Linked DNA regions of Tamandua tetradactyla. The protein of the gene in region 1 purifies or fractionates together with the protein of each later gene. This does not show direct contact. Links are inferred from orthologs where the notes say so. Each region holds a gene or a part of one and is shown in the gene's direction. Other genes may lie near its edges.

Region 1 (7,713 bases):
ATGCACACAACACACACATAGACACACACAGAATACATAAATGCTACAGACACACACATAGAACATGCACACACACAGAACATGCACATGGAACACACATGACAGACACAGAGAACACACATGTGTGCACACAACAGAGAAGCACATAGAACATACACAACAGACACACAGACATGCACACAGATACACACATAATAAGCTGACAGATATACAGAGACAGATACAGGCCCAACCAAGACACAGATATACAGACACATCACACAAACAGGTGCTCACTCGGACCCACGAGCACAGACACAGCAGAAGAGACAGACACACAGCCAGGACACCCCCAGACACTGTGGCTGATGAAATGGGGTGTTTCCACTGGGATCCGCCAAGCTGCCAGCTCCAGCCGAGCCCAGCTGGAAGACCTCAGGGTGCATCAGGCTGGAGGGGGGCCATGAAGGGATGGATAGGGAGTGGCCAGCCCACAGGACCGTGGGGAGCTTGCTGGGGACTGGGCGGAGCTGGTGCTGGGGCCCCGGGCAAGCAGGAGCACCCCAGGACCCAGGCACCGCGGCTGGGTGTGGGCTGCCCAGAGGCATGGAAGGCTGCACCAAGGGCATCACCAGGGGGCACCAGGGGGGGCCACGTCCTGGGCGCATGGCTGAGGTACAATGCCCCCAGACGCCCTGTGCCTGCACCCCAAGTCTACTCCCCCACACCCCAGCTCACCGCTGCTCCCTGAAAGGCAAAGGGAGTCCTTCGTCCCGCAGTGTCCTTCAAGCATCTTCTCCTGGGCACTTCTGGCCCTGGCGGGCAGGCTGGCGGCATCCCTTAGGGCGGCAGCACTCGCAGTCCCCGGGGCCAGCGGGAGCCCGGCTGGAAGGAAGCCTGTGACCTTCACAGGCCTGGAGCCCAGAGGAGACAACCTAGAAACTGGCACACATGCACACGATACACACCACATGCACACAGACACACACAGATGCACAAACAGGTACACTCCAACACACACAGACACACACGGATGCACACACAGGTACACACTGACACACATACACACACAGATGCACACATAGGTATACACCAGTGTACACACAGACACACACAGATGCGTGCGCACACACAGGTACACACCGACACACACACACACAGACATGCACACAGACACACACCGACGTGCAGACACACACAGACGTGCACAGACACACAAACACACAGACATGCACACAGGTATGCACTGACACACACAAATATAGATACACACATATACACACATACATACACACAGACACACACACAGACATACACACACTGATGCACACACAGGTACACACAGACAAGCACACAGTACACACTGATGTGCAGTAGGTACACATCTACACACACACAGAAACACACAGACACACTGATGTGTACACAGGGACACACAAATGCACACACAGAAACACAGATGCGCACACACACCAACACACACACAGAAACACCCACACATATGGATACACACAGACACACACAAATGTGCACACACACACACACACACACACCCGGAGCCCCGAGGCCCCGACCTTCCTCTCCCGCCTCCCACCAAGCAGGACCCCTGCCACGAGGAGGGTGGGGCCTTCCTCTGTCCCTTGGCCACCCCCAGGAGGGACACAGGCCTGCACAGCCTCTCTGCCCCGCCGCAGTGCCCTCCGGGGCTCCCCACACGTGGCCCAGCCGTGGCTCTATGTCTCCCTGGGACGTGCTGGCTCTCAGCCGGCCCCAAAATGGGTGACTCTTCCACCAGCCCCCCCACGGAGATGACGAAGGGACGAGTGTGAGCGGTCACTTGGGCTGCCCGCGCCAGCCCGTGATCATGACAGAGAGGAAACATCTGCTCCCACCCGCGCCCGGGCCAGAGACTGCTCAGCGGCGGTTCTGGGCTCTTCCTGTGCCTTGGCTCGGGCCTGCGGCCCACGGGGTCCTCGCTGGGCCCTCTGGCAGAGCCGCACCCCGAAGCGCCGGGCCAGGGGGCGGGGGGCGGACCCCGTACAGGGAGGGACACTGGAAGCCCCCAGGGAGGCCCAGCGACCCTCTCGCCTGAAGGATCGCGGGGTCCCTGGAGGGCCCCCCCAGAGAAGAGCTGAAGGTGAGCCCTGTGAGGGCACGCCAAGGCCCGTGGGGGGAGGGCACACCTTCCCCCACCCCTCCGCTCCAGCCCTGCACCTCCAGGAAGGGCCGGGCCGGGCTGGGCGGGACAGGAAAGGACCCCCGGTGGTCCGGCATGCCAGGAGGGGAGGGCGGCAGGGGGCTTCCTGTCTAAGCCTCCCAGGTGGTGAAGCTGCACGATCAGCTTGTGCCACTTTTACAACCCTTAAAAAAGAAGGATGCCTTTTTTCTGTTTTGAAATAATGGGCGTTTGTGGCTCGGAAAGCACGAGGTCTTTAAGGACAGACTGGAAAACACAGGAGCACAGGGCTTGAGAGCGTGAGAGCAGAGAGCCTCCGCCCCTGGCGCCCCACCCTCGCACCCCTGTCCCGCCTCCCCGGGTCCAAGGGTCACCCTGGGCCAGGGCCGGGAGGCCGGCCATTACCTCACAGCCTGGGCATGGGCCCGCGATGCCATCTGACAGGCTCTGGGGCGGGGTGGGAGGCGAGGGGGAGGGAGGGGACGGGCACCCCCCTCCAACAGGGCAGGAGGCTCGGTTTTGGGGTGTGGGCACCGAGGAGGGGAGGCAATCACAGCGGCCTGCCCCCCAGCAGCCAGCTTGTGGCCCATCCATCCTGGGCTTCACCCTGGGTCCCTCTGGGGGGGGCCGTGGGGGCTTCATTACCAAACCCTGTTGGTTGCAGCAGGAGGAGGGGGCCAGAGGGAAGGGTGGGGAGGCACCTCCAGCCCGCAGGGAGCTCATCCAGGTGCACCCTACCCCCCGCGACCCACCCAGCCCCCCTGCCAGAGCTGTGGGGCGCAGCGTCCCACCCCACCCAGGCTCTGGGCCGGACATGGCCAGGGGAGGCATAGGGGCCACAGGGGGCCTCAAGCCAGAAGATATCAGGATGGGGGAAGGGAAGGGGAGCCTCCCGCCCAGAAAGGAGTCTCGTCTCCCTGCCCTGCCCTGACCCCCGCACGGAAGAGAGGCTTCGGGGTCCCTCAACCTTCTGCTGTGGTGCTCAGGTGTGGACTCCCCTTTAAACTCAGCCCGGGGGGGCCCCCTAAACCAGCTAGCAGGGGGGGTGAGGGGCCTGCTCCAGCCCTCCCCTGCTGTGATGGGGGCTGGTGGTGCCTGGGGACCAGCTTCAAGGCCAGAGGTCCCCCCTGGCAGGTGGGGAGGTGCCGGCTGAAGCCAGTGACCGGGAACCCACGGCCCACCTCCCACCCCAGCGAGTGTGGCGCTGCTCCTCCCCATCCCAGTCAGGGGCAAGCTGGGTGGCCTGCCTGGCAGTGGCAGCACCCCTGGCCAGCACACGCAGCTGCTCGCTGTTCATCCCTGTGCCCTTGGCACACTGCCCCTCACTCAGTAACTCTCTGCTCCCCTCCACCCCACTAACTGTGGGTGCCCTGAGAGGACAGCCACCATGCTCTGGCAGGAAGGTGGGGTACAGACCCCCCAGAAGTGTGGGCAGCAGCCTCCTGGAGCCGACGGGGAGACGCTCCTGGCAGAGGGAACAGCAGAGGCAAGGGGGCAGGGGTGGGGGCAGCAAGAAGGTGGGGAAGCTGCGGAGGAGAGACAAGAGCCCGGGCGCCTGCAGGGCCAGGGGTGTCACCTCTGGAGACGCGGGCATCCTGGAGGCCCCCTGACCCACGCTGAGGGCAGCACACTTGGGGGCTGCTGCAGGTCGGTGCAAGCGCGGGTCAGCGGGTGGCGGCAGGGGCTGGATCCCGGGATCTCTTCAAGCTGGGCCGGCGGGGCTGACGCCGAGGACGGGGTGTAACGGGTGGCGGAGTTAAGGGTGACCCCAAGGCTTTGGGGGGTCCGCGTTTCGGGGTCAACCTTGCCCGGCGGGCGCAGATAAGCCTTCCCTGCAACGGGCTCCGGGATTCTGGAGGTCGACGTGTGGGGGGGCCGCGCCCGGGAGACCCGCCCAGCCCGAACCTGGCCGAGCCATCCAGTCCCCTCTGCCTCAGGTCGTCGCCGGGCCCGGGGGCTTCGCTGCGCGCCCGATTCCCGCCCGTGGACGATGAGCGGCTCGACGCCGGGGTCCAGCGCCGTCGGGGTCGGTTCCCTGGGCCTTCGGGACTGGCTAGCGGACGGGGGAGCCCGGGAATTCGCATTCCACCTTGAGGGCCGCTGCCGCCAGCCCGCTTCCCGCACAAGGCGAGCGCGGGGAACCCCGAGACCCCGCCCGAGACCCCGCCCGCGCCCCCGCGTTGCTCCACAGAGCCGGGCGCCTAGCACTCCCATTGGCCGCAGGTGAGGCGGCGGCGGCCCGACAGGTAGTCCGCCCCGCGCCACGGCGATTGGGCCGCGCCCGCGGGGTCCCGTCGGGGATTGGCCCAGGTGGCTGCCCCGCCGGCGCCCTCATTGGCCGCAGGTGCTGCCCCCTCCCGCCCGGCTGCGCCGCGCCCCGCCTATTGGCCGCACGCTCTCCGGGCCCCGCCCCGCTGCCCAAGTTCGCGCGGAGTTGGCCGGGCCGGCGCGGGTCACCCGCGCGCTCCCCGCCGCGTTCCGCCCCGGCCCCGTCAGGTGTCCCGCCAGGTGTCCGGCAGGTGTCCGGCAGGTGTCCGCGCCGTGGGCCCGCGCGTCCGGGACGCGGCCCTGAAGGACGGCCTGGCCGAGCGCGCCACGCCCAGCAGGCCGGGCCCCAAGATGGACGGGAGCGGCGGGCGCGTCCGCCTGAAGGCGCACTACAGCGGGTGAGCGCGCCCGGCCGGCCCTCCGCGTCCCCGGGAGCCCGACGCGCCCTCGCCGGGAGGGGCCGCGCGAGCCTGCGGGCGGCCGGGCCGGGCCGGGGCCGGGGCCGGGGCCGGGGGCGGGGCGGGCGGACCGGGGTCGCCGCTGACGCAGGTCCTGGCAGCGCGGCCGGGAGGGAGGTCGCGGGACCGGGGGACGCAGCTCCATGGAGCTGGGCAAACTTTGGCAGCTGGAGAAGAAGCGAGTTTCTCAACTTTCGCCCTCTCGCCCGGCTAGGGCGCTCCGCTGAGAGGGAGAAGCCGCGCCAGGCCGCTGCGGCGGGGGCCGGGGGGGAGGGCCCCGGGGAGCTGGGCCGGTCCCGGAGTCTTGAGGGAGAAGCGCGCCCGGGCTTCCATCTCCCTGTCTGTGAATGGGGCGAGTGGGCACCTCCCGGGGTGCAGTGGTCGGGAGCCTGGACTCTTACCGTCGCTGGTCTCAGGGCCGCGAGCCCGGGGTGGGTGGAGGGGGCTCGTGACCAGATGACGGGGCTCCCGGGTAGAGCGCGGGACTCCCGCTCTCGCCGCCCGCGGGTGCAGACAGCGCCGAGGACGGCTGGAACCCCGGCTGGGACCTGGCGCTCCCCGTTGGTTCAGCACCTGTGGGGGCACGGTGTGGGGGGCGGCCGCCTCGCGAGGCCGCGGCTCCTCCAGGGCAGCGCCCCCCACCCCTTCCCTCCCGGAGGCGGGTTCGGGCTCCACCCCATGAGCACAGCATCTGCAGCCTTGGGTGCCTGCTCCTAGGTCCCCTGCAGACCCGTGGTTGGGGGAGTCAGTGGTGGACCCCGAGGGAGGAGGGGTGTGTGGGGTGTGGGCTGGGGTTCAGGGGTGCAGAACATCTTGGCTTTCTGCGCCCCCACAGTGCCGCTACTTGCTGGCGCCCCAGCTGGGAGGGGCCACCTCCAAATTGCACAAGTGGCATTTGAAACCCCCTGCCTGGGGTGTGGGGACCCTCCAGCTGACCCCCAAGAGGAATCTAGCAGGTACCTCCAGCGCCAAGCAGTGGGGGTCAGGTGGAAGTTGGAGGTCAGAAGGGGGGGCTCAGGGGAAGATCCGAGGGTGCTGGGGGGATGGGGAGTCCCCACCTCCTGGTCCCCGAGGGAGCGTTTTGGTTACTGGCAGCACAGATGTAATACAACCTGCTGCCTCCAGTTTCACTCCTGATAAGGCCGCTCCCCCCTTCCTTCCCTCCACCTTTCCTCTTCCTCCCTCTTCCCGCCATTGCCCAGCCCCCACTCCTCTTCCCCTCCCCTCCTGCCTCCACCCCACCCTTCCCTTCCCCTCTGACTCCCTCCCTTCTGCCACTCCAGCCCCTCTGGCCCACGGAGGGACCTTCTCTAAGCCCAGCCCCTCCCTGGGAGTGCCTGGAAGCTCGGGACTGGGCCCCCAGGAGACCCAGTCCACCATGGCCATTCCTGAAGGGCCCCCCAAGACTAGGGCTTGGTGAAATCGGGGTGGGGGTGGGGCTGGTGAAATCCCAGCGCTCAGAGGCCACCCCTGAGAGGACACTCGCTGCCCGGAGGCATGGTCACTGGACCTTTCAGACAAAAGCAAAGACGGGGTTTCTCTAGCACCCCACGGGCGAGGGCCCCTCCTGTGTTTCATGGGCTTTGTGCCCGCTCCCACAGAGGCTGACGGGGGTGGGAAGGGGTGCAGGGTGTCCACCACCTGCCCAGGGGGAGGGCCTGCTTTGTCCAGCACCTTGGGGCCAGCTCCTCAGCGTCCCCGCATCCCAGGAATGGCCGCTGGCTGGCTCTCACCCTGTGCAGAAAAGTTCTGTTCTGGAACTTTCCCCAAGGGCCCCTCTGCGTGAAGACCTCGCCGCAGCCAGGGTGGGTGCTGTGACCTGTGGCAGTGGGGGGCCTACAGGCGCCCGCGCCTCGACAGAGCTCCTGTCTGCTCAGCAGGCCTCAATAGAGCTGCAGCTGCCCCAGCGTCGCCGCCCAGGGGCCAGTGACTGGTAGAGCAGACAGGGAAGGGGCAGCAGGCACAAGGGCCCCGTGGGGTGGTGTTTGCTGTGCCGTGTGGGGCCTGAGTGGGGAGCCTCCTGGCTGCTGACCGCAGGGGTAAGAGTGGCAGAATGCCTCGGGGGGTGGGGCCATTGGCCTGCAGGGTGGAAATGTTAGGCTGTGGGACCATTGGCCTGCACGGTGGAAGTGTTAGGCTGTGGGGCCGTGGAGCTGGAGGTACCCCGACTTGTCTGGGCTGGAAGTCATGGTCACGCCATCAGAGGTGCTGGCAGAGCCGTTTCCCAGAGTGGGCTGAGCCCGAGGTGACCATTGCTGGCCCTCCGGAGGTGTCCAGGTGGTCACTCAGAGAAGAGGCTGCAGGTAAGAGCAGGGAAGTGCCCTTTGACCTGGACCTTGGGGTGGTGGTGGGAGGAGCAGGTTGCAGGGGGGAGGTGTGTGAGGAGGGGCTGGTGGTCCGCTGGTGGGGCCGTGTCTGCACGGGCCTGTGGGGGCGGCCAGCCTCGCCCACATGTTGGATGGTGTCGTGCACCCATCTCCTGCGTAGCCCACTAAGTGCACCCCCTTCTTGCCATCCCAGGGGGCTGTTTTGGGGGGGTCACCTGCTCTGAGGATATGGGGCCCCTTGCCGCCCCATATTGGGGAGCCCACCCCCCTCAGTGCTTCGGATTCTCCGGCTGTGCACACGTGCCCTGAGGGCCGTTGGCGAGGCAGGTGGGTTGGGAGAGTGAAGTTTCTGTCTCGCTGCTGTCCCTGGAGTGGGAGCCGTGCTGTTGGGGGTGGCACCTCATGTCCCCTTCAGAGCTGGGTGGCATAGCCCAGGCACCATGGGGGAGTGACCTAGGGGTGAGCTTTGCAGGGGTAGAGGTTTAAGGGTGAGTTTTGCCAAGGG
Region 2 (7,511 bases), on another chromosome or scaffold:
GGCCCCCCACCCCCAGCCTTGTCAGGGCTGTCTCTGGAACCCCCCCACCCCTGCTCCCTAGCTTCCCTCAGCACAGCCTGGCACCGAGGCTGTGGTCACAGTCAGCGAGCAGGGCCCAGGGTGTCCAGTCCAGCCTGGGAGACGGCTGCCCTGCCCTTGGCTGAATGCACACTCTGAACCAGGTCCTTCACGGGCTCTCATTTAATCGTCGCCACAACCTCCAATACCTTGCCTGGGTCCTGCGCTCAAATCATGCTTTCTTTGGCTTACAAGCTGTGGACTTGGGGCAAACTACTTAGTCTCTCTGGCCTTGGCTTCTTTGTAAAATACCATGGGATTAAATGAATGACTGTGGTGCCTGGCACAGGCCGAGTGCTCAGTGTTAATTAACGGTAGCAATTAATATTAGCCCCAGGTTACAGATGAGGAATCGAGGTCCAGAGAGGGGAGGAGGAAGCAGCAGGATTAGAACTTGGGGCTGTAGAAAGGAAGAGGCACAGAGCCCCACCTCCCTGGCCCCTGGAGTCCCAAACCCAACACGCCCGGCAGAGGGTACGGCGTCCCAGGTCCCAGCATGAGCCCAGAACAGCGACCCTCGGGAGCCAGGCTCGGGGCTGTGCGTCCGGAGGAGACCATCCAGCCCCAGGTTGCTTCTCTCTGGGCCTCAGGTTCCTCCCTTGTAAAATGGGGGCCAGAACACTGTTCATCCTCTGTGGAATGGGGTAGGGGGGGCCCAGATCCACCCTCCCCTCTCTGGGCCCAGAACACTCTCTTAGCCAGATTCATTTTGTATACCCCACAGGACGAGGTGCTCCCTCCTTCCCCCGGCTTGGGCTACCCTGCTGGAGCCCTGGCTGGAGACCCTGTTACCAGGTGGTCTCTGTCTCAGGCCTCCACACTGGGCCTCCCTTTCTCCCTCACCTTCCTCGACCCTGGACCCTGCCCAAGCCCTGCCCCAGGCTAGACTCCATTCCAAGAATCCTCGGCCCACCGAGTCCCTGGGGGAGCCTCCAGGAAGAAGCTGTGTGTGTGGTTTGGACAGCAGAGGGGGCCACGGCCTTGGCTGGGATCTGGGTCATCAGCGCCAGGAAGGCAGCGCCAGCCTCCAGCCCCACAGCCGCCTCCCTCAGCTGGACTCTTCCGGTCTCCCTCTCTTTGGGGCTTTCCCTCTGGTCACTGGCTGGAACCACCCTTTCTTTCCTCCCCTCCGCAGGCCACCCTGGGCTCTGCCCTTGGCTTCCATTTACCATCCATGAGATGGGACAATCTGCTCACCCACCTCTTGTGAAGCATCACAGAGGCGAAGCTCAAATACTGCATTTATCGGGGTGCCTGCCTCAGTTGGTGTGTGCCAGCTGTCACCACAGTCATCTCCCCACTCATTAACGCAACACCTGTTTTCCTGCAGCTCCAGCCCGTGCTCTCCAGGGCCCCCACATCTTGCTCTCAGCACTCACCAAACTGGCCTCTTCGCTGTCCCCGAACCTGCTCCCCAGCCTGACTCAAGGTGCCCCCTGTTCACCCCCTGCCCGTCACTGCACCAACCACCGCTTCCCGTGGGCTCGACTCCCAGACAGTGTGGCTATCATTACTTGTATTTGACTATTTTTTAATGAACTATTTCAAACACACTGAAAAACACTTTATAGACATCATCGCTCACAAATGTTAACATTTTGCCATATTTCCTTGAGCTTTTTTTTATTAATTAAAAAAAAATTAACACAACATTTAGAAATCATTCCATTCTACATATACAATCAGTAATTCTTAATATCATCACATAGATGTATGATCATCATTTCTTAGTACATTTGCATCGATTTAGAAAAAGAAATAGCAAGACAACAGAAAAAGAAATAAAATGATAATAGAAAAAGATAAAAATTAAAAATTAAAAAAACAAAAAAAACAAAAAAAGACTATAGCTCAGATGCAGCTTCATTCAGTGTTTTAACATAATTACATTACAATTAGGTAGTATTGTGCTGTCCATTTTTGAGTTTTTGTCTTAAGCTTTTTTAAAATTTTTTTTTATATATGTTTTTAAGAAATACGTGTTGTGTACTTACCAGGTGCCAGCTGCCGTTCTAGGTACCGTGCTGGAGCCAGCCTAGGAGGGGGCAGGGCCACCCTGCCCAGGAAATGCCCCTCCCTGGCCCAGGGATGACACAGGCCTTGGAGGCTGGAGCTTGAAGACTGCTGACTAGGACGGATGAGGGGGCCCCCAAATCTCAAAGGACCCTGTGGTCAAGCCCTTGCCTGGTCTTTACTGCACATCAGTTTCCCGCTCTGAGCAACGAACAGGCTTGGGTGGGCACTTGGTGCCCCCCTGGCTGCCTGGGCCCATCCCCTGGCACCGCCTTGGTAAATCACAGGCCTGGGCTGCCCCTGCTCACAGGGGAGGGGAAGGAAGCCCGGGACCTGTCAACGCCTCCCCACCAAACCCTACCTGGCTGTGGCCCAGCTCAGGCCTCAGTTTACCCATTTATATTTCAGCATATCCACTGGACCCCCCTTAACTGATCAGATGGGAAGAGGCTGGTATAAAATCCTGATTCTGCAGACATCTGCATCTGGGGGTACCTGGTATCTGCATTGGCAAAACACCCTCTGACTACAAGAGCCGTTCCTTGCCATGAAACTCTTCCCTGTCTCCCCATCTCTCTGCCTAATAAACCCCTCACTCATTATAGCCCATCTGGAATTGCCCCCCTGCCACCACCCCAACCCTGTGCACCCCCTACCACAGCCCAGCACTCTAAGTAGTTGGGGAGCTACTCAGCTCTGTCTCCCGGTGCCAGGGGATGAAGACACAGGTTTGGCTGCTTAATGCCTGATGAAAAAGTCCCATTTCAAAGACAGAGACGTGGAGGCTGAGTAAAGGCAGACCCCTTACAGAGGACAAGAGCTCCTAGAGCAGTGAACTAGAGCCATGATAACTAACCTCGCTCGGCCCTTCCTGGGCGCCAGGCAAGCTCTGAGGGTGTCACAAGGACAAATTTCATTTCTCCTTCACCACACCCTTTGAAGTAGGTACTAGTATTATGGCCATGTTTACAGATGAGGAAACCGAGGCACAGAGAGTACAAGTAACTTGCTCCATGCGGCACAGCTTCTCAGTGGTGATGGTAGGACCCCACGTGAGGTCCGTCTGGTGCAACTTATTGCCTCATTTTGCAGAAGAGGTGACAGGGATGGGGTGGGGCGCGCAGGCATTGTCACTCAGTTTCCTCATCTGTAAACTGGGCTAATATTGGGGACTCCCTCAGAGAACTGTTAGGAGCCTTAAAGCAGTCAAAACATCTTTGAATGGACACATAGAAGAAGCCTTGCTGTTCTTATCAGCTTCCCTCCTCTTCTAACCTGACCTTCTTCCTGATCCAGGATCCAGCAGGGCAGGCGGGGCAGGGCTGGGTGTGGCTGGAGGGGGACAGACAACTCCTGTCACTTGGGGTCAGAGGTCAGCTCCACCTTCCCTGACACAGCTGGTGGGGTTGGGACCCGGCCTACCTGCCCCATCTAGGCTTCTGGGAGTTCCAACCTAACCCAGCCCTGGGTCCAGCGCAGCCTATCTTCAGCCTGGAAGGAAAGGTCCAACCTCTAGGCCATTTTCCTGATGAGGAAAGGAGGCCTGGGAGGTGGGTGGGGACAGGCCGAGAGTCCTTCAGCTTTGTTTATCACTGTTCCCTCCAGTGGGAAGGCCCTTCCCCCATCGCCCAAAGCCCAAATCCGAGCTGAGGACAGACCCACATACCATCTTCTGCCAAAGGGCCTCCTCCCTCGGCTGGGTTTCTGTCTCACTGTTCGGCTCGTGCCACTCCTAAGAATCCCCTGTGCTGCTACACTGAGTGTTTCGCGTTGGGTCCTGAAGGATGTGTAGGAGTTCCCCAGGGGCTGGGAGTGGAGGAGGACATTCCTGACTGGCCGTGCAGCCGGAGCACATGCACGGTGGTGGGAGGGGTCCGGCACTCTGCAGAACAGGCAGAGTGGTGTCCCGTGAGCCTGGTAGAACATGAACCTGGCAACATGGGGCCAAGGGTCTGTGGCGCAGACGGGGACACTGAGGCTCGGAGGGGCCAGAGCGTTGGCCCAGTCGGGACTCTCTAGCGTTCGGGAAAGGGCTGCCCCCTAAGTGGAGGTGCACGACGTTCCCTCGCAGGGGGAGAGAGCCTCGGTCAAGCCGCGACCAGGCGCCCGCACCCGCCGGCCGAGTCCCCAGCCGCCCACGATCGGGGCCTGGCTGGCGGACTACGAGTCCCGGCGGGCCGCGCGCTGCGGCACATGACCGGCGGCGCCCCTCCGCGAGCCCGGCCGAGCCCGGGGGCCCCGGCCACCCCCTTTGTCTGGCGGAGGGGCGGGGCGGGCGGCGCGGCACGCAAGCTCATTGGCCGCGCGGCGCGTCCGTCGCGGCCGGCGCCCACCCCCGCGCGGCCCCGCCTCCCGCCCGCGCCCCGGCCCTTGGCGCCCCGCCCGCGCCTCAGGACCCGCGGGGCCGCGCGGCGCATCCTGCGGGCTGCGGCGGGGCGGCGCGGCCGGGCCGGGCGCAAGATGATGAAGTTTCGGTTCCGGCGGCAGGTCGCCGACCCGCAGCGCGAGAAGCTCAAGCAGGAGCTCTTCGCCTTCAACAAGGTGCGGCGGCGGGGAGGGGGCGGGCCGGGGCGGGGGGCCGGGGCTGGGGACGAGCCACGTCGGGCCCGCGGAGGGGGCGCCGGGCGGGGGCGAGGGGGAGGGGCGCAGGGGCCCGCCCCCGTGCCCCTCCCCCCCGGCCCCGGGACGCGGCGTCCGCCCGGGTCTATCCCCGGGTCCCGGGCCTGCCCGGCCCTGCCTCTGCACGTCCCTGGCTCTCGGTCCCTGCGGGGCTCCGCACCTCTCCGGGCCCTGCGCCCTCCGCGCCCCGGCCCTTTCCGGCCTGAGTCCCGGGCGGGAGTAGGGGGCTGTCGCCTCGGCCCCCGGGTCTCTCCCTCTGTGCGTCTCTCCTCGTCCCCCGCCCCTTCCTGCCGCTCTGTGTCCAGAGACCCGCTCCGTGGGGTCGGGGACTCTTCTCTGCCTCTTGACCGCTGCTCCTCCGGGCCCTCCCCAGGCTCCGCCTTGGGGCAGCCCGGGGTTGGTTTGGCTTGGCCCCCAGGCCGGCCAGGAGGCGCGGGGAGTGCAAGGCGGGGAGGTGGGGCTGGGAAATCCCGTCCACGTTCTTCTGCTCCCTTCCCCCACCCGCTGCCCAGGCTCTGCCCTGCGGGGCCTCAGTTTCCCTTCTGTGCAATGAGTTGCTTCTCTCTCAGCTGGGGGCTCTGGCTCCCTGGGTCACCCGGCTGGCTGAGGTGCCACTTGGGCATCCTTGGCCAAGGAGGAGGTGATGGATGGCTGCTCCTTCCTTGCGCTGGCTGGGGGCAGGGGGGTGGGGAGGGAGTACCATGGGAAACAGGGCTGCCTTGGGCCCATAAACTTTCCCTGCACTGATATGTGGGAGCTCGCAGCCCCCAGCTCACCCCTTGGGGACCCCTCCTGGCCCTGTCAGTTCTGACCTCTGACCACACAGCTTCTCGCAGCTCCACCATGGAGGTGAGAAAGTTGAGGTTCATAGAGGGGAGAAGACTTGTCCGAGCTGGCACTTGTCCTCAGTCCCTTTGTGTGTGGGTCTGATGGTGGCCTTGAGGGGCAGGCGTTTTCGGGGGTGGGGGGCAGCTGCAGTGGTCCCAGGCTCTGGGGTGGCCAGGGCAGCGGGACCACCCTTTAGGACTTGCCAACTTGCCAGGGGCAGAGAGGGCCCGGGAGGGGAGGCTGGTGCTCAGGGGTCCCGGACCCTTACTGTCCTGCGCTGGGGTGGCTGTGAGGACAGGGAGAGGAGACTGACCCTTCCCAGGAGGGTGGGGGGCAGGCCCTGGGCTAACACGCCTCTCCTTCAGCCTGCGAAGTGCAGTGTGGAATGGGGGCCTCACACCCATGGGGGGACGCCCGGCTCCCCCTGCTCTCATGGGTGGTCAGAAGGCCAGCGTCCTGTGGGGGGATGAGGCCCCACGCCGAGTTGGTCAATGGGAGGGGGTGGCCCCGGGAAGATGCTGGGTCACCAAAGGAGGTGACCGCTGGGGACTCTGAGGTGCGAGTCAGGGCCAAGCATGGGATTGGACTTGGATGGTCTTGGATTTCAAGTCCCAGCCCTGCCCACAAGTGGCCTGTGGGGTGTCCACTCTGCCAGCTTAACAGATGCTGTGCCCGTGTTGCGTGTGACGTCTCCTGGGTGCTGGGGGCACAGTGCCCCAAAGAACACAGCTCACTCTGCCCTCCAGGACCGACGTCCTAGTGAGGGACAGAGTGAAAGCCAAAACTAGAAAGTAGAATGTGCAGGCGTTGGGGTGGTAGCCAGGCTGGGCGTGAAAATGGGGTGGGGTCAGGGATGGAGAGTGGCCATGTGGCCTGTCCAGCCTCTGAGGAGCTACTTCCCGGGTGGTGGGCATGAGCCCTCCGGGGGAAGCAGAGAAGTGTTCCAGGCAGAGGGCATCAGCAGCGAAGGCCCTGGGGCAGGGGCCTGCTGGCTGAGCTGGAGGAGAGCGAATGGCCATTGAAAATTGGGGTCAAGTGAGCATTGAGAGGGGACACACTGGCTTTGACTCTGAGTGAGGTGGACACCCCAGGAGGGTCCTGAGCAGGGATGGGGCTGCTGAGGGCACTATGGTACCAGGGTGGAAGAAGGGGCCACTTCGGTGTCCGTCTTGAAGCCGAGCTGGCAGGCTTGGGGACAGTCGGTCATGGGATGTGAGGGAAACAGATGCTGGACAAATGACCTCACCCGGCTTCACCTCCCTCCTCTGTAAAGTTGGAAGTGTGGGGGGCCCATGTCAAGGCTGTGGGGGTTGTAGGGCCATATGACATTTGTCCTCTGTTTTCTCTGTACTGGACAGTGGGGCCATAGCCCTGTTGCCCAGCCGGCAGCTCTGTCCTTGGAGCGGCCCTGTCCCCTGGAGGGTGCTGTGAGTAGCCCGGGCTCACCGGACCTGGAGTGCCTGTGAGGGAACCTGGGGTTCAGTCCGTGCCTTCTCTGGGCAGTGGGTGAAGGGTCACCCGTGGCCTGCCCTGTGCAGGCGTTCCAGGCAGGGGGCAGGGGTCTGGTTGCAGGTGGCGTCAGGGGAGTTGCCCTGTCCACAGCCCCGTTGCAGGCCCCTTCATGCTGTCCTCACTGCTGATGGGGTGGGGGGCAGCTGGCCAACCTTTGGGTGCTGAACTGAAGCCTGGGAGGTGGGGTGATAGCTGCCGGGGCCAGGCAGAAAGCCCCCCTCTCTGGGCCTCAGTCTCCCTGTCTCAGCAGATGGGGTGGAGTTCCCTGCCTCACTGACCCTGGGTTTTGACCCTTGACCTTTGGCCCTGGGCATCAGGATGGTGCTTCTAGAAGGGGAGCCATGAGCCTCCCCCAGGCCTGCCGCTGCCTCGTGGGGCCTGCTCCTCCCTGAGTCTGCTGGTCACCCCGCATCTAGGCAGCCATGCCCGGGGTGTGGGTGCCTGGAGGGTCGGGAGGGAGG
Region 3 (7,633 bases), on another chromosome or scaffold:
TTCCCCGGCCGCGCGACAGGATAGACTCCGTTCCTAAGGTGAGCGCTTTTTGGAGGTCGCTGCTCCGAGAGGGGATTTCGGGAGCTCGTGAGTCCCGGGAGAGGCTGAGGCGTCGAGTTCCGCGTGACCTCGAGGTTGTCCGAGGAAGGGGAGATGGAGGGATCGCTCCCAGCCGTCCCCAGGCCGGGCGGGGTGGGCTCAGCGTTGACTGATCCTCAAAGCCGCATATCTAGCGGGGATGGGGGCGTTCGAGGGAGACAGGCTGTGAGCCTTCTGGCAGCGTCAACCCGGCGAGATGTGAAAAGGTGAAACACCAGTAAAGGCCAACGTTTATTCGCATTAACGACCGCTTTACCGGTTAAATCCCCAAAGCATTCCTTCGTTTAGGCTCCCTTATCCCCATTTTCCAGAGGAGAGAACTGAGGCTGAGAGATTAAACTTACTGATTTGCCAAGAGTAGAAAAATGGGAGGTTGGATGATTAAGGAAATAGTGGAATGTGTAGGAAAGTAGTGATTTCAAAAGACGAACAAAAGCTGTTTCTGAATTTGGGCAGTTCTAATGACAAAAGTCATTTGGCGAGTCATAAGCACCCTATTCTTAGTTTTGGAACTTGTTTTTCAGGTGACCAAAACCTCATAATGTCAATAGCTCGCTCTTCTGTCCATGCCAAATGGATCGTGGGGAAGGTGATTGGGACAGCAATGCAAAAAACTGCTAAAGTGAGAGTGACCAGGCTTGTTCTGGATAACTATTTATTAAAGGTGAGGAGCATCCCTGCTTTCAGCACCCACATGTTCCTAGAACCTGGGTAGAAAAACACTTCTCTACCACTAAAGATGTGTCAGCTGTTGCCAAACACTGAGTAGCCTATGTGTATGCCAGGTGAATTGGTCGTGGGCCTTACTTACATTCTGGGGAGACCTAGAGTTAATTTCAAATCAGTCCAATGCCTGCTGTGGTCATTCTATATGCAAATACTGTGAGATAGGGAATAGGAAATGTCATTCTTTCCTCCCAGGTTGCTGGAGAAGAGCATCCTTGATTAAGAGACATTTGAGCTGAATCTCAAATAGGATTTTATCCAGAGAACCAAGTCAGGGAAGTCGTTCTGGCCATGATTAGTATGTGGACTTTCATTTGGCCATGAAAGGGCCTGATCCAGCAGGGTGGACCCAGAGAGTGGACTGTTGGTAGGCAGACTGGTTGAATGAATGGCAAGGATAGTCGAAGCTGGACCATGAAGTTTTTTTGTGTGTTGTGTTTACAAGTTCAGATTTCATTCTAAAAGCAAAGGAAAGATAGGCTTGGAGACAATTAGAGATGGAGGATGGGGGTAAGGAAATCAGTAAAGAGGTTATTGCGAAAGTCTAGGATGGAAATGATGAGGATCTGAACAAAATTTGAGTCAACAGGGCTGGTGTGACAAGAGTAGATTTTAGGAAGAAGGGATAAGAGTCATTGGTTTCTTAGATGTACAAGGAAGAGGGACACACCAAAGATGGTTCAGCATTCCAGCTTGGGTGAACAAAAATGCTGTTCTTAACTTAGACTCTAAAACCCAGGAGCAAGCAGAAGAGTGACAGCTTGATTTTAGCCTTAGAAGCAGAAGACCTGAGTTTACTTAATGTGCACAAATACCTGCTATGGCAGGATGGTTGTGAGTCTGGCGATTCTAATTATCATTTATGGCTTATTTAAACACTTTGAGACAAGCATAGGATTAAGTTCTTTACATACAACGTTTAATCCTCATGATAACTTTATAGATGCAGCTATTAGAGCTCTTTTTATTGGGGTGGGGGGGGACAGATTGGGGTGATTAAGTGATTATGTCCCAATCATACAGCTTGTGATAAGAATAGCATCTTTATAGGCTGGAGAGAAGGCTCCCAATGGGAAGGGAAAGTTTAAATAATTTCGAGAGAGATGATAACTGATAGAGCAAGGGTCCTAGCAAGTTCAGTGATAGGATCAGCTCTGGAATAGTCATTGGTGTTTTCCAAAGAATAAGCAGCTAAGTATCTTCTTTTCCCAAGTCCCAGTTTGCTCTCTGTGCATTACCTTTTATTCCATATTGCATTGCCAGATCACAGATGTGTGCTACTAATTTGTTCATCTCCTTCTCTCAACAGTATTTTAATAAGCGGAAAACCTACTTTGCTCACGATGCCCTCCAGCAGTGCACTGTTGGGGATATCGTGCTTCTCAAAGCATTACCTGTTCCACGAACAAAGCACGTAAAGCATGAACTAGCTGAGATCATTTTCAAAGTGGGAAAAGTCATAGATCCAGTGACAGGAAAACCCTGTGCAGGAACCACGTACCTGGAGAGTCCAGTCACTCTGGAAACCACCCACCTAAGCAAAAATCTCAAAGAACTTAGTGTCTCTTCAACACAATAAAAGAGAATTGGAGAAAAGCTGCCAAAGGGAAAGACAAGTTTGTTTTATGGAAAAAGAAACTTTGCTAACTCTCATCTTAAACTGTGTCCAGTTGTTCTTCTGATATTTATGAAGTCAATAAAAGTAAATTTGGTAAAGGGCTTGTTATAAATTTTCATAAAGATTATGGTCAGAGTTCCAATTTCTTTTTTCAGTGAACATTAAGTTCCTGTTAAACTGTGTGCCTAGCAGTTTGCTGCATCATTTTGCAAGCTCATTGCTTTAGAGGGTGTATTATTTTTTTCATTCTAAGGAATCTCGAATTTATCTCAGTACTTTTATTTTGGGAGAAGAAAAACTATTGCTATTATAAAAAGATTAGATCACACTAAGTGTTTTGTTTTTGTCTTTTTTTTATGGTCTATATTCAGAATTCTTTTTTTTTTTTTCTGAGTTCACCAATTCCAAAGAGAAATAACCAACATGCTCGTGGTCAGACTTTGTCAGATTAAGCTGTATTAATAAAGATGTTAGCAAGTAGAAAATAAAATGTAAGAATTCTGTGTCAGTTTTTTTATGTCCTAGATCCTAGATCCTAGGCTAGATTAAATAGGCATGAGTTCTTAAAATCTGACACATTAATGAAGTTGTAGGATTTCTCCCATGCATCTGAGTTGGAAAGTATCTGCATTTTTGCTATTCTTTAATGAACTGTGATGACTTAGATTTTGACCTGAGGAAAAATTTAACTATATATTTCAGTTTTCAGGTTCCTACAAAGAGACTTAGAGCATAAATTTCAACTTCAGCAAATAGGCCTATTGTCCTCACAGTGTTTCAACAGTAACCACGGGCACCCTCAGGGCTTACAGTCTAAAGCAGGAGGTGGGCACGGGTGCCTTCACAACAAACATGGGTAGGGGAATGGTGGGGAAAATGTGTAAGTAAGCCACAGGCTCTTGGACACCTCTAGCTTGAGGCCCCATCTCCTGCTCTGGAGAATTGGGGGCAGCTTGGGTCAGCCTTCCTTTGGGGCCTATCCAGCCTTTGTAGCCCCTCTAACCAAGACCCGGTGAAGGCAAGAAGTCCCTCAGCACCAGCCTCTGGCTTCCAGGAGACAGATGCTTCCCCAGCCACTCCTCCAACCACAACTTTTTCCTGCCTGGTGGCTCCTTGTCCTTTTAATGTGTTCAAATTCTGCCTAGTCCAAAAGCCTCCACCCTCCCTTCATCCCCAAGATTCCCAGCTTCAGGGCAGCCCTCAATCCACAAATCCAGTTCCCCTCCCCACTGCCCAGATACAGAAACCTAGTGGCCAACTCAGGAGGGAACTCACCTCTTGTTCTCTCCCCAGCCCACTGCTTCCTTGAAATGCATTTTCCCTGTCACGCCCCCTCTGAGGATCTAACGTTTTCTGCCCAACTTATCTTTGCCGCAGTTTTTCATGGCTACATCGGTGACTCTTATTTTCCCACGGGATACGGTTTCCTTAAACAGTGTCTCCCGGGCACACGCTTCTTCACGTTGTGCCCTCTGACAGGGATGTCTTCCCTTCTTCCGCAGGGGAGCAGCCCTGGGAATTTTCCCGTGGTCTATCCGCCACCCAGCCACCCTCGGTCACTTGCGCTTTCTTGCTTCCTTCGCGTCTTGTGAACCTTTCCATCTCAGCACTTGACACACTCGTCAGGTCACATCCTGTCCCCATTAGAGTGGCCGCGTGAGGACAGGGACGGGGGTCTTTCGGTGGCCAGAGCCCATGGGTGCTGAAGTGAACAGGAACAATGTAGTCACAAGACTGCGAGAGTATTTTAGTAAGTTCCCATCTAAAATGCCTTTTACTAAAGTGTTGATTATGTTTTGGAAAGGTAATTTTCACATGGCACCAAATTCGAAAGATATTCGGGGAGAAACCACCCACCCACACATGTCGCTCGGCCTCCCGCTTCCGCCAGGCAACGGTGTACTCTGCTTGTGAATCCTTCCATTCATATTCAAGCCATGCTCGTGTTCCCTTTGCACACCCCCTTCTGGGCACCGAGAGCTTTCGCAAGATCTTGTTCGGCAGGCGGTGCTTTTCAGGCTTCCGACTACTTTCGACCCACCGCCCAGCGTCCCGCCTCGGGCTCGGCCGCGCGCCCTGCGCCCCCTGGCGGCCGCGCCCCGCATTGCCGCGGTCGCGCGCCCCGCCCCGCCCCAGCCTTGTCGGCCGCCCGGCCGGGGGAGGGGTCGCAGTGGCGGCGGCTTCGGCGGCGTCACGGCGGCGCCCGGGCGGTGGGAGCCGAGGCGCCGGAGCAAGATGGCGGCGCGAGTGCTACGGGCCGCCGGAGTGGCCTTGGCCGGCGGCCTCCTGCAGCGGGCCGCTCCCCGCAGCCTTCTGCCCGAGCTCCGGTGAGCAGCGCCGCCTTTTCCGGGAGCGACCAGGGAGGGGCCGTCCGTGGGGCGCAGGGCGCGGGGGTCCCTGGCGGGGGCCTCCATTTCGGCTCGGCCGCGTGCCTCACCCGACAGGGCGGTCCAGGCTGCGCGGCGGCGGCGGCGGCGGCGGCGAGGCTGCGGCTGGCGGGATCGGCGGGCCGGAGCCTCGGCAGGATCTGAGTGCCTTCCCTGCCGTCCGGGCTCAAGGTCACGACGGGGACGGACCGCGCGCAGCCCCGCCTCCGCCCGGGACGGCCCCTGCTGCCCGGCGCGGAGGCCACGTCCGCCCGCCCGCCCGCCATGGCCGGGCCTGCGGGATCTTGACCCGGAGCGCCCGGCCACGGCTGAGGCCGCAGGCCCTGGACTCGCCCTGCGGGTTCCGCCTGCAGCCTGAGAAAGCTGCTCGCTGCCCAGAGCCTCGCTGCGTGCTCCTGCAAAGCGGCCGCAGGGATGACACCTCTTAGGTTGTGGCGAGCATGAAATAAAATAATGCATCGCCCCCGGTGAGCCCTCAGTGGGGGCGGGGGGGGCGTATCTTAGGGCGTGATAGCGTTATGAACAGTCTTTTTGCCTCGGATTTTAAAGGAGATAGTGAGTGGATCAAAAAGTATTATACACTTGTCAGCACCAGGCATTGAGGTCATGTTTAAAGTTTTTTTCCCAAACCTCGTTGGAGTAATTGTTCGTTTTTCTGAATCTACCGTCTATATCCATATCCACCTCCCATTTTCCAAATTCAAAAACTAAATCCTAGAGTAAGTTACCATAGATTTGCTTTGTTTTCTCGTTTTCTTTACCTGGGTGATTTAAATGTTACTTTTTAAATTACCATCCTCTACAAAGTATAGTTGGCACTTGGGGAAAAACGAAAGAACTACCTGTGAAACTCTTAATATAGGCCAGGAAGCTTTAGATAAAATGGCAAATTTAATCCTAATCATATTCTTAAAACATAAATTGTAGAATCTACATTTTACAAATGGGGAGAGGGAACCTCAGAGAGGGGGAGAAATAGCCAGAAAATTCATTTGAATCCAAATTTCTCAGGCCTCAGACCCAGCACCCTTCCTAACATAAGGTTCGCCTTGAATTTCTAAATTCTTTAAATTTGATATTTATGGTTTCAAACTGATTAACAACAGCTTCCTTTTTTTTTTCCTGTTATTGAGCATTCATGGTGTGCCTTATCACACAGATAATACAAACCCAGGAACTTGGTATTGTCCACTTTTCAAAAGACAGCCTAGAATGTGTTCACCTAAGGTGTTCAAGGTCACAGAGCTAGTAAACTGGAGATTTGGACCTGGGTCTGATACCCCCACTTCCTGCAGAGGCCACATGCTGTTGACACTGGAGTCCTTGTGTATTTCTGACCTGTTGGTTCTCTAATTATTCTAAGAACACTCTGAGATCTCCTGGGCATTTTGCCACTCTATTCTGGCCTCTAGTCTGCCTTGACAGGCAGTATTCTCTGAGCCTCAGCCTAGACCCAGTTAATTCACTCATCCCCTCACATAGTGAGCTCACACAATGTACTTGGAGCCATATGGAACTACAACAGTGAGCAAAATGGCCACAGTCACTGTCCCAAGGGATCCATGGTAGGTGGTAAAAATCCACATAGACTTAGAAATTGAGGTACATGCTAAGAGAGAATTGGGGAATCTGCCACGTGAGATCATGGAAGGATGTTAAGCTGAGACCTGAGTCAGACAGATCTGAGTAGGAAGGAAACCCAAGAAGAGTGTAGAGGACTAGAGTTCAAGAACAAATGGAAGGCGACAGGCCAGAGGAGAGGTGGCAGGGAGCAGTGGCCAGAGGACTCCAGGTCTTGCCTGGAAGCTTGGACTTTTTCCAAGAGCTATGGAAGACATGTAAAGGTATAAAATTTAGTGTCGCTTGGTCTGATCTGTGTTTTTAAAAGATCAGCCTCTCACAGTAAGAAACCAGAAAATATTTGTTAAATGAATGAGAGAGTGACTGAATCAATGAAGAGCTGGAGTTTTCCTAGAAAAAATACAAATTATAAAAATGGACTTAAGTAGAAGAAAACAAAAAATTTAAGACCAATCCTATTTGTATATTATATGTATATATAAATGTATATGTATATTTTCTAACTTTTAAAAAAATCATAAATATTAACTAAGTTTGAATTCAGCTTTATTTTAAAAGTCATACACTGTGATCAATAATTTAATAGTACCAAAATCGCTAGTAGAATATTTAGCCAAATGTCCACTGAATTGTTATACTAGATATCAAAAGGTATTAAGTGCTTAGTCATAAAAATTTTGAACATTAAATTTTCAGATAATATGGACTCTTCAGTCAAGACATGGGTTTTTCATTTTTAAACATTTCCAGGGAACTGATAATGTTAAAATTAGACCAGGAATTATAATAACCACATAGTCTCCAAAAGCAATTCCAAATGGTATGTTTGATTTCACATATGCAGCCTTCAAAGTAACTTTCGTGAGTCAGGTATATTGTTTATCCTGTTTAATTGAGATCACTATGGCTGCCACATTCATTCACTTTGTATGTGCAAATCTGTTACATCTTCACATCAGTCATGAATTCTTCTTACTACTGTTAAAACTTGGTACACAGTCTTGCAGTCTATGGATGGTGAATTCGTTCATTTAGAGAAACAAACAACAAAAACCAATTATTCAGGCTGCCATAAATATCCCTAAAGAACATGTATGACCCATCTGGATATGACCGGCTTTATTTCTTCATTCATGTTCTAATAGACCCCTACAACTTCCTTAGAGTACTAAGCAAGTGCAAAAAATCAGTTTTTCATATCACAGCTAAAGTGACATCCCAT

Evidence for each region. The genes of interacting proteins can lie anywhere in the genome.
Region 2: the proteins of PRKCZ (region 1) and LLGL1 purify together in Homo sapiens (affinity purification with mass spectrometry; 6 studies listed by BioGRID and IntAct, counting the BioPlex papers as one, with this or other methods). This does not show direct contact. The link is inferred for Tamandua tetradactyla from reciprocal best matches to the Homo sapiens genes PRKCZ and LLGL1.
Region 3: the proteins of PRKCZ (region 1) and NIPSNAP2 purify together in Homo sapiens (affinity purification with mass spectrometry; 3 studies listed by BioGRID and IntAct, counting the BioPlex papers as one, with this or other methods). This does not show direct contact. The link is inferred for Tamandua tetradactyla from reciprocal best matches to the Homo sapiens genes PRKCZ and NIPSNAP2.

What each region holds. Positions count from the first base shown.
Region 1 is NC_135328.1:222,906,029-222,913,741, reverse strand, and holds the start of PRKCZ (protein kinase C zeta type), read left to right. Parts: upstream 1-4,706; 5' UTR 4,707-4,774; coding exon 4,775-4,821; intron 4,822-7,713. UniProt on the Homo sapiens protein: Calcium- and diacylglycerol-independent serine/threonine-protein kinase that functions in phosphatidylinositol 3-kinase (PI3K) pathway and mitogen-activated protein (MAP) kinase cascade, and is involved in NF-kappa-B activation, mitogenic signaling, cell proliferation, cell polarity, inflammatory response and maintenance of long-term potentiation (LTP).
Region 2 is NC_135332.1:1,862,668-1,870,178, forward strand, and holds the start of LLGL1 (lethal(2) giant larvae protein homolog 1), read left to right. Parts: upstream 1-4,504; 5' UTR 4,505-4,551; coding exon 4,552-4,632; intron 4,633-7,511. UniProt on the Homo sapiens protein: Cortical cytoskeleton protein found in a complex involved in maintaining cell polarity and epithelial integrity. Involved in the regulation of mitotic spindle orientation, proliferation, differentiation and tissue organization of neuroepithelial cells.
Region 3 is NC_135349.1:18,621,799-18,629,431, reverse strand, and holds the start of NIPSNAP2 (protein NipSnap homolog 2), read left to right. Parts: upstream 1-4,626; 5' UTR 4,627-4,678; coding exon 4,679-4,770; intron 4,771-5,086; exon of another isoform or gene 5,087-5,283; coding exon of another isoform or gene 5,284-5,297; intron 5,298-7,633. Other genes in the region: MRPS17 (small ribosomal subunit protein uS17m), read left to right, coding at 641-763, 2,135-2,404. UniProt on the Homo sapiens protein: Protein involved in mitophagy by facilitating recruitment of the autophagy machinery required for clearance of damaged mitochondria.